Linked DNA regions of Caenorhabditis elegans. The protein of the gene in region 1 interacts with the protein of each later gene in a pairwise test. Each region holds a gene or a part of one and is shown on either strand. Other genes may lie near its edges.

Region 1 (3,528 bases):
AATGGTTCCAGCTGGAGTGATGGCAGCAAACGCAGCTTGGGCATCAGTTGCATCAGCCGGAGCAGCGGCAAAGTGAACAACAAGCTTGTCTTCTTTTGGTGCTCCAGCAGTACGAGTGATTGTGATGTCCTTTGAACCAGATGGATCAACGAATCCGAATACCGGAGTGATGCGGTATTCGTTGTTGTTTGAAGACTTGATCTTGAAGATCATCTTCTCAGCTCCAGCATTAACAAGTTTGTGGGTGGAAGCACCTCCAGCAGCTGGAACAGTGCACGCTGGTGGATCGGCCGTCAGAGACATCTTTTTGAAACTTTATGTTAAAGTTGTATAAACTGAACATATTACCCTTATTTATAGCAGTCGTTATCAAGATGAACCAGTGACCTTTCGTGAACTTTTGATTTTAAATATTTTTGTAAATTTAAAAAGGTTTGTTAATATCAACTGTCTGCTCCCTTTTGAAAATATAGTTTTTTAAAAGTTATTTACGCTCTCGAGAAGACGTGGAAGAGGTTAAGGAAAAAATAAAAATATAGAAAAAAAAATATTTTTGTAAATTTAAAAAAGTTTTTTTTTCCGATGTATGTAAGGATAAAAATAAATAAGTCATTAAATATATTTTTCTATAACATGAAAAATTCACCGCTAACTGGCGTCAACTAACAATGACGTGTTTAGTTGGAATGTCAATTTCAAAGGTTCGGAATTACTTGAGTTGTGGACTAATAGACACTAAAGAATAACTTTGAGATACGCGATTTTTGCCAAAAACAGAATGTCCACCTTCGGCACGACTAATTTTGAATTTTCGAATAACTTATTTTCATATATTTCGCCTAACAAAACATTTTTGTATGTAACAGAAATGTGTCGTGTGGAGACCAGATGTATTTATGGAGCAAAACTTTGCACATGATTGTAAATAATAAATCAGTGATTTAAAAAATCAATTTTAAATCAAAATGCGGAGAAATGGGCGGTAGGCAGCCAGGTAGGCACGTGGGCCTCAAGAACATTTTGTTTTTTCTTCTCAACATATTTTTTTGTCAGATAATTTAAAATTTATTTATTACAGTTACGATTGTTTATTGTACATGCATGAAACTCCTAACAATGCTTCTAATGTTTTGCGAGTTTTGAACGATGGCTTCTCACTTATTGGAACGTATGTTTTCAGTTCATTACTCAAATGAAGTAAAGGATCATATAGCTAACTAGAAGTTCTAAATTTTACATCCTTCACTTTGTTCGGCTCCTCCGATGAGTACATCACCCTCTTTGAGCTTATGAACAGCAGGAGTCTAATATTTTCGCCACAGACTTCTGAGATTTACGATTATACACGTCCCCGGGTCCCGACACGAGTGAAACGTTTCATCAAGCCTATACTTTGCCAAAAAAAAAATTTTTTTTAATAAGAAGTATCAAAATCACGGTAAGTATCAAGAAAATCATGCAAAGTCAAAGATCAAAGAACCCTGGATTTTGAGGCAAAAATCTATACATTTTTTCCGAATTACAATTTTACTTGTTACACGTGTTTGAGTTTAAAAACAGGTAAAAAAAGAAAGCATATACATGAATAAATAGAAACGAAAAAATATTCTAAAGTTATATTTTTTAATGAACTTGCTCAGCGTGGAACCCCACTTTGGTTGGCATCCAAGCTCCGCCCACATCAATGTCTATAAATAATCAATTTTCTGGTAAATCCTTCATTCATCGATTTACTCGACTTACAACAACTAATTACAACTAACTCTTCGCAATGCAAGGACAAGGAGCCCCATGCCGCCGTTCTAGGTATGCATTTCATGAGCCCGAGTCTCAGATCTCAGGTTACCATGAATATTTCAGAAGCCGATCAAGATCTCGTGGAGCCTTCAATCGTCGCTCCAACTATGGAGAAGCTCATCCAATTCAGCCTGCCGTTTTAGCTTCAATTGTCGAAGAACCATCATCTTCAATCATGCCAGTGGTGAACCCATTGATGGTTGCAGCAAAAGAGCTCAAATTTCCCTGCCAGTTGGCTCATGGATCTCCAGTTGCAATCATTGACAAATGGAACGATATGGAGGAATTGTACCAATCAATTGCTGATTTCTTTGCAATCTCAAAAGACGATATCATTTTCCTGACGGTTAATGATTTCAAGGCAAGCTTTGATACTTTAATTCCTCTAATTCGAAATATTTTCAGCCAGACATGAAGAACATGTTCAGTGGAACACTCAACTTCAAGGATATGCTCTTTGCACACGTTCGCGGACAAGCAACTGAGCTCCGAATGGTCAAAGACGCCAACGTCTTTGGAGTGACAGTCACTGACAACGGACTCGGAAATGCATTTATCAAGGTCATAAGCCCAGGTTCGGTGTTCGATCGTATGCGTCCAGCAACACAAGTTGGTCAACTCATTGAGGCGATTAATGGAGAGTCTGTGCTCGGTAAAAGACATTACCAAGTTGCTCGTATGTTGAAAAGTATTCGTCGCGGCGAGGAATGTATCATTCGATTGATTGCTCCAAAGAGTGCGGATCCAGGAACTATGAAGATGACTAGGAAAACTGGCGGAGATTTAGCAAAAGGAACCATTCGTTTCAAATCGGAAGGTGGATTTGCTGTTGAAGATATTCAAGATCAGATGATCCAGGCTGAGATGTGCGGGAAACTCAACGAACTGTTCGACCAATATTTGGGAGTTCAAGATGATCAATTGGCCATGAGAATATGGGAAACTGCCTCAAACTGCGAGACACTTTGGCAACTCAGTGAAGCCATCAAACAGTCGGAGCTCTCAATGTTCGAGTTCCCGGATGGATTGGTATTCGACATGTGGGGAATTATTGGTGATTTGAAACGCGAACAACGTGAGAAAAAGCCAATGCCAGTCATGAAGAATGCTATTTCAAGACCATCGGCTATGAAACTCTTTGACTAACTTGTATTGTCAAATAAATTATTTTTCTTGTCCTAGCTGAATTTAATTGTTTCTAAATCAATTTACTATATATAAAGCGCGTGTCGTTCCGTCACTATGTAGTTTGATCTCTGATCATTTTGGGAAACCTTATGCTAAATACGCAGCAGACATCGATCGAGGTCCGCGATAGACACCGTACATCTAATGTGCTTTCTCAAAAAAGTCGAGGGCCGCGCCGTAGGTGCTAGATTTCAACTTGCAATTGTATTCTCTCCAACAAGAATCGGCATTCTAGAGGTTTCCAATGATTTTATTTTGATGAAACGCTACAGTACTCCTTTTATACAATTGACCAGCCGCTGACCGCGCCTCCGGCGCGGCCAACGACTGGCGAAATTTGAAATGTTTGACACATCCCTGAATTCATTAGGTTTTTCTATAAAAAAAAGTAAGCAGAATTTGTTTCCCTGCTGCATGTGTTTAAGTTTTTTCGAATATGCTGAAAGATTAAATTTTGAAAACCATCACACCACAACCTTAAACAAAGTACAGTAACCCTACAGTACTACTACAGTACTACTACAGTACCTTGACATTATCCAT
Region 2 (2,993 bases), on another chromosome or scaffold:
AAAACCAAAACTTCATTATGTAAAATTAATGTTATCAAGTGTTCAAATCTTCTTATCCTAATTTGTTTCAACAAGATAATTTTTCTTCAATTTCTTGTCACATTCTAAAAACATTCTAAACTGAAGCCTCAATGTAAAACCCAGACACATTTGTTTTATTGTGCGACTACATTGCAAAAATATCGAGAAAAATCGGAACCGGTTCGAATTGTTTTCCACAACATCGCACTTGTGATCAAGTGTTTTCTGGGAAGCAATCTTCGCTCGAACCGAGAGTTGTTGATACACAAGTTTTACAGATAAAAGTTATTACAGGCAAAACACCTTTTTTGACGTTTTCATTGTTTTATTTTGTCCTCAACTTCCATCATTTATCAATACAGTAATATTAAATTGTCCGTTGGAAGAATGTAAACAAAAGATTATTACTATTTATAGAAGTGAGGGGTCTTGACAACATGTCCTCGAATTAACTCCACTGGCCGTTGACAGACGCTGATATTTTCCGCGTTTACTTGAACTGTTTTCTTTTATAAAATGTGACGAATTTTCAGTTTATACTTGGTCTTTTAGAGTCACAAATGATGTTTGTTTATTAGAAAATCGTTTTCGTCGAGAAGGTTCAAAAGATCGGTGGCCAAGATCACGGTCCAAATAGTGACACCTGTTCTCTGCAGGTCAGATGTACGCGTTGTTGTTCACATAGAACATTTCCAGCAAATTTCCACGTTTTTCTAGCATCAATCATGTTTATTGTACCTTCCAAAAGGCGTGAATTGCAAGATGGCAAAAAATTCACTTCTAAATCTGAAAGTTTGTGCATGAAAGTACAGTACTAAATTCAACTGTTCATACAAAACAAAAGTGTCTAAGCTTCTGGGCTCTTGGAAGCGTGGGCGCAAAAAAAGTTATATTCAGAAGATCAGCTTGACCTGAAAACATTAAATCTAAAGTTTTTCGATTATCTTTGTTGGATTTATTCAATTTTTTCTGAGGAACAACTTCAGGTATTTGTGAGAAATGTTTTTCGAAAAGTTGAAAAAAAGACAAAAATATGATATACAAAAGATCTAAGCTTAGACAACTTGAATGCCATGTTGTTGCAAAGTTGCCGTACTTCCTGCAGCCGACAGTTGCCAGGTGCCAAAGGTTTCCGCGTTCGGTAACTTCCAACATCACCAGTTAGTTTATTAACTTAGTTTTTTACAACATTTTCCACTAGCTTTCTGACAACACCCAACGAACACTTTATGGGTCATTTTTCAGTGATAATAAATAATCTTTGGTCGAAAAAACCTGTTCCAATCAGTTGAATAGAAAATTAATCCAAGAATTAATGACATCACAATATTCCTCTGACTATAGTTCAGTTTCCAATTAGTCAATGTGAACATGAACTTATTTTAGATCATTTACTATTGCCTTTCATTGTGCCTTATCAGTTTCCCTTAATAATCTATGATCCCTTCATTTCATTCATTGTTTCCTGCGGACCTTACTTCGGACCTTACTCCCCTCGCAAACTTTCGGTTGTTGCTACGTGGCATGACATCACTTGTCAAAAACAATGACCAAAATTGGAGAACATAATAATAAGAGTACCTGTTCATACTCCCACCAAAGGGGCCGGGTCGCATCTCCACCGCTTCCCCACACTATTTCTTATCTTTCCCATCACCGATCGTATACTTTGTCCTCGCCGTCTTCGCCCCGATAATCGGAGCCGCCACCCCGCCTCTTTGGCGTAGATCGCGTATAAAAGCAGGCTATTGAAGACTGAGCCTCTCATCAGCCACCTGATATTCAGTTTCACAAATACACACAAACAATTTGAAAATGTCGACTCCAAAACTTGTCCGTGTTGCTCAATCTGCAGTTTTCAACCAATTCATGACAAGAGAAGCGTAAGTTTTGGATAGTAAAAATCTTTTTAAAAAACCATTGAAAATTTCAGAATCAGCTCAGCCACCTTCCGCCCAGCAGAGCCAAAAATGATGGACCAGCCAAAAATGAACATCCGAATTCACGATGAATCGACACACTTGAAATTCGGATTCCCAAAAACCGAAAAAGTGTCGAACCCGTAAGTATAGCTGTAGTTTATCAAAAATCCCTAGGTTATTCAGTGTTCCAGAAACAGTGACGACTTCATTCAATTGAACTGCGAAAAGTTGATAAAAGAAGAACAAGACCGACAATGCGCTTTTCTAAAGCTCACAAACCTTCGTTTTTAAATAATTTCTTTTCCCAACTTCTATCATCTACAAGATGTGATTGTAATTAATTAATATATTGTACTAGAGTAGGAACATTTGTACTCTCTTCATTTGAAAACACATTGCTTTACACTTTACACTGTTTCTATTTGTGATTTTTTGCCGATGTACAATTTGAAAATAAACGACTACTTGATGGTGACTGCTGCCGATAAAGACATAAACACATGAAAAAACCTGAAACTATAACAAATGTGTGAAAGTGTTGGATAAAAGTCCATTGAAAATTTATCAGGTTTCATCGGCAACAAAAGGCAACACGTGTGGTGTGTTGTGTTGTTGGCAGCAGGGATTGAAAAGATAAAATTGAGAGAGAAATTCGCAATCTTCCGAAAATACGGGGGACCGGTTGTTGTCTGGATATGAAAGTTTGCAGAATATATTTCGGATGTCATCTGAGAAAAATTTGGAAGATTAACATTTTAACTTGAACCATTTTTCGATAAAATTGTCCAACAAAATGTAGTAACAACAAGTTGGCACCTCAATTTTTGAATGTTTTTTTTAATGCTCGTCGAAAATTTCAGAACTTTGAAAAATGTATATTTTACCTCAAATTAGCAACAAAAATGTTTTATGAGGTACCACTAGCACCTCGAAAATTTCATTCAGAACATTTTTCAGCAACAACATTTTGATATAATATTTTGTAGCGCCAGTGGGAAAATTATTAAAAATCACTTCTATGGTGCCAAAATAAAAATTTCATATTATGTT
Region 3 (3,487 bases), on another chromosome or scaffold:
TTTTAGTGAATACCTGGCAGTTATCGTCTTGTCCACATTTAACAGTACAGTTCACAAAACTGGTGTAGACCGACAAATATTGTGTACAATTTGAATTATTCGTGATTGTTCCGTTGAGTACAATCATATAATTCTGCAGTTAACCTATGCATAACGTCAAGACTTCGGAAGTTCACTCACGGGAATTCCGATAGAAGCGTTTAAATACAAGATAATAACAAATAACAGTAGCATCTATCAAGCTATAAAATTCTTATATTTGCTCAAGAAAATGCGAAATTCATCGTACTAAAAAATATGCTTCAAAAAGTCAATGAGCCGATACATGGATTCACTTGAATTGTTTTGGATTAAACTTTTGCTTCTTTCAAATGTTGAGCCTTGAAGTGAAAATATATTTTCAAACAGCATAATTTGGCAAAAATGGGAAACTGGGAATTGTTCAATTTGGGGGAAGTCCTGAAAATTATTGAAAATTGCAATTTATTGTCTTGGTGAAATTTTAAAACTTTAACCATACTTTAAAACGGGACTATGACAAACAATAATTTCAAATACAATTCATTTTAACAGTTGAACCATAATAAAACCAATGTTTAATTTTTTCTTGACCCTAAAATATCTTCCAGTGAAATCATGTAAAATTTCCGGTTGTGACACTTGAAAAACTTTTCTAAAAGTTGTCATGAAGTTTTTTTGTGAAAACATAAAATAAAATAAATAATGAATAGTTCCTAAATAGGTGAAAATATCACAAGATGTGATGTTTCAAAAAAGTATTATATTTCAAAGACTCGAATGGAATAACTTAGAAGCCCATAATAAAAATTAGTCATTATTTTGTTCGAACGTTTCCGCCGAAATTCTATCTGATTTTATGAAGTCCAGAACAATTTCCGAGAGCTCACATTGTTGTAAAAAATGACCCGAAAAAAATTCAGATCGTCTTATTTACGGTTGTATCAAATTTTTGTTTTAATATTATACGTTTTATCTAAAAATTCTGAAGTGAGCTTACACATCCTTTTGAATGTTTCTGTCAAAATTGGATTCGTAAAGTAAGCATTAAAGATTCTTTAATCAAACATTCAAAGTTCTCCTAGTTATATTCAGTTCAGTATGTTCATATGTTTCGTCTTATATCCCTGTACTAGTATGTGACCCCAATCAATATTCCAGACCTTCTCCCTGCAGCTCCACATTGCCTCCTCTACGCCCAACAAAGATGAAAGGGGATGTTTCCCCCATATTCTCACCAAAACATCTCCAGTTCAAACGACCGACTCTTTGGCGGTACGGAAGAATACAAAAGGTCCGCCTTTTTTTCTTTTTGCATAGCAGTCAGGTATGAATACCACACCATTTTCAGTCATTCCAGCTAGTTTGTGGTTACCGAGTCAGTGACTTCCTTTTCTTTTCGGTTTACATTTCCGGTACTTAGAAATTTTAATTCTTCGATTTATTCTCTTTTCAGTGAAACTATTTGTTTTCCAATTTTCCTGATCTCCCTTCATTATTTGCTGATTCAAAGTTGTTTTCTGCACCTATTTATTATTGCCAGCAGTCGTCTGTTCACCATGGCTGTAAAACCATTTCCGTTTGAACGCATTGTCACATAACCCCGGCGGTCTATTAGAACTGATTGTAAAACTATAAGAAACTGTGAGAGAGTGATTGTTTTCGTGGTTTTTACTCATATTTATGACTTCGTGTTTCCTTGTTTTTACTTATGTATTTTCTAATCCCAACTAATTTCAGATTTCAATAATGTCATCAAAACGTTCGTCCCCAACTGGAAAACTCCGTCTTCTGAGCTTCCTTCGTGACCTTCTTGAAGACGAATCGAATTCAGATATCATCTATTGGTTTGACAAATCTGAATCGGTATTCAAGATGAGCAAGCCACACAAGGTTGCCGAGCTGTGGGGAGCTGCTACGGGTAATCCAGGAATGAACTATGACAAAATGTCAAGAGGACTTCGTTATTTCTACACAAACAATACATTGGAAAAGGTTAGTTGAGTCGCGGTTGAATTTTAGGATTAAAATGTGTGCGTTTTTGGTTAACTGCGCTACTTGCTTGATAAATTCATGTAAATTTGGATACCGTCTTCAACCTAGATATTTGTTAAATTTTTAGTAGTTTCTTTCTAATTCAAATTTAATAATTTTCCAGGTTCCAGGCAAAGATGCTCGTTATCGCTTTATCGATTCTCCAAGACATTCGTTCCTAGATTTTTCCATGAAAACTGAACTTGAGACGCCAGTCAAAAGAACTCCTTTGTTCAATATTTCAAATCTAATTTCAGATTTCGAAGTTTCCAATAATAGGTATGAAGGGGGAAATTTTTGAGGAAATGTGCGCTTTTCTTTGGGGGACCCGGGGGAATTTTTTTCAGGTTCGTCATTTGGCTCGACTATGCTGCTACTGCGAGGAATTCACCTTTCACCAAATTCTACAACACGACATGATTGACTGGATTTCTTAGTCTTTCAATTTTCCAGATTGAATATTTATTTTTCAGCTTGACATCGTCACCAACATCGAGTGCATCTTCAGTAGAACCATCTTCGCCAACAACAACCGAATCATCACTGGATCCATCACAATTTGTGCAATTGACTCAAAACCTTGTTCAATTTAACACATTTATGTCTCAAAACCCAATGTTCCATACTTTGCCCCTACCCACACAACTTCAAGTTTTCTTCAATTTTAAGACAATTTTCCCCTCTTTGTTTCCGGCATTGGTGTGAGACTCCTAAATTTCCTAATAGGTTCTGACAATTGATTTTTTTTTTGCAAGTAGTGTTTTTGAAAAGTGACACTTGAAAACTCACGCTGTCGCAACGGTTCCTGAAAATAAGCAATTGTAATTGTTGTCAATAATAAATAATTTTAACAGAAATTGGTCAATATATATAAACCAATTAAAATGCTTTAATATTGGAATTTCATTCCAAAATAAGAAGATTATTTGTTGTTTATTCGGATCAAGATGAGATATAACAAAATGTAATACATAAAAGAAAGAAGCATCGGGATGAATCGAATAACACTTAAAATAAGAAAGACCCGTCTTAAGTAAGAAATGTAAAATATAATTTGACAGAAAAGGATAAATAATATTGAAAGTTAAAAGAACAAAATTTGATGGATTAGGAGATTCATAAACTGGGAGGAGGAAAGGAATGTTGGTACATTGTGAACTATACTGTTCCAAAGGGGAACGACAATAGAAAAGAAACCTTTGGACTTTGGATTGACTAGAGAAAGGAGCATCGGCCGACGTTGAGATCTGACATGCAAAATGAATATTTTTTGAATCTGGGAAATGTACAGCGCTTGTTATAATTTTATACAAGAGAATAAGATTAATCAACCTTTTGTGTTAAAGCAATTTTCATCTCACAAACAACTCCAATTTTTGTGTAGCCAATTTTTATTGCATCATGTAGCCGCTGAATTATTTTTACAAAAATTTCT

What was found.
Region 2: the proteins of gipc-2 (region 1) and F48D6.4 interact in a two-hybrid assay, tested with the Caenorhabditis elegans proteins (one large-scale study listed by BioGRID).
Region 3: the proteins of gipc-2 (region 1) and F19F10.1 interact in a two-hybrid assay, tested with the Caenorhabditis elegans proteins (one large-scale study listed by BioGRID).

What each region holds. Positions count from the first base shown.
Region 1 is NC_003282.8:10,025,858-10,029,385, reverse strand, and holds gipc-2 (PDZ domain-containing protein), read left to right. Parts: upstream 1-1,719; 5' UTR 1,720-1,771; coding exon 1,772-1,806; intron 1,807-1,860; coding exon 1,861-2,158; intron 2,159-2,202; coding exon 2,203-2,943; 3' UTR 2,944-2,973; downstream 2,974-3,528. Other genes in the region: msd-2 (MSP domain-containing protein), read right to left, coding at 1-303.
Region 2 is NC_003284.9:4,245,978-4,248,970, reverse strand, and holds F48D6.4 (28S ribosomal protein S36, mitochondrial), read left to right. Parts: upstream 1-1,787; 5' UTR 1,788-1,836; coding exon 1,837-1,904; intron 1,905-1,954; coding exon 1,955-2,083; intron 2,084-2,126; coding exon of another isoform or gene 2,127-2,134; coding exon 2,135-2,234; 3' UTR 2,235-2,414; downstream 2,415-2,993.
Region 3 is NC_003283.11:7,561,489-7,564,975, forward strand, and holds F19F10.1 (ETS domain-containing protein), read left to right. Parts: upstream 1-1,758; 5' UTR 1,759-1,767; coding exon 1,768-2,013; intron 2,014-2,176; coding exon 2,177-2,331; intron 2,332-2,525; coding exon 2,526-2,757; 3' UTR 2,758-2,908; downstream 2,909-3,487.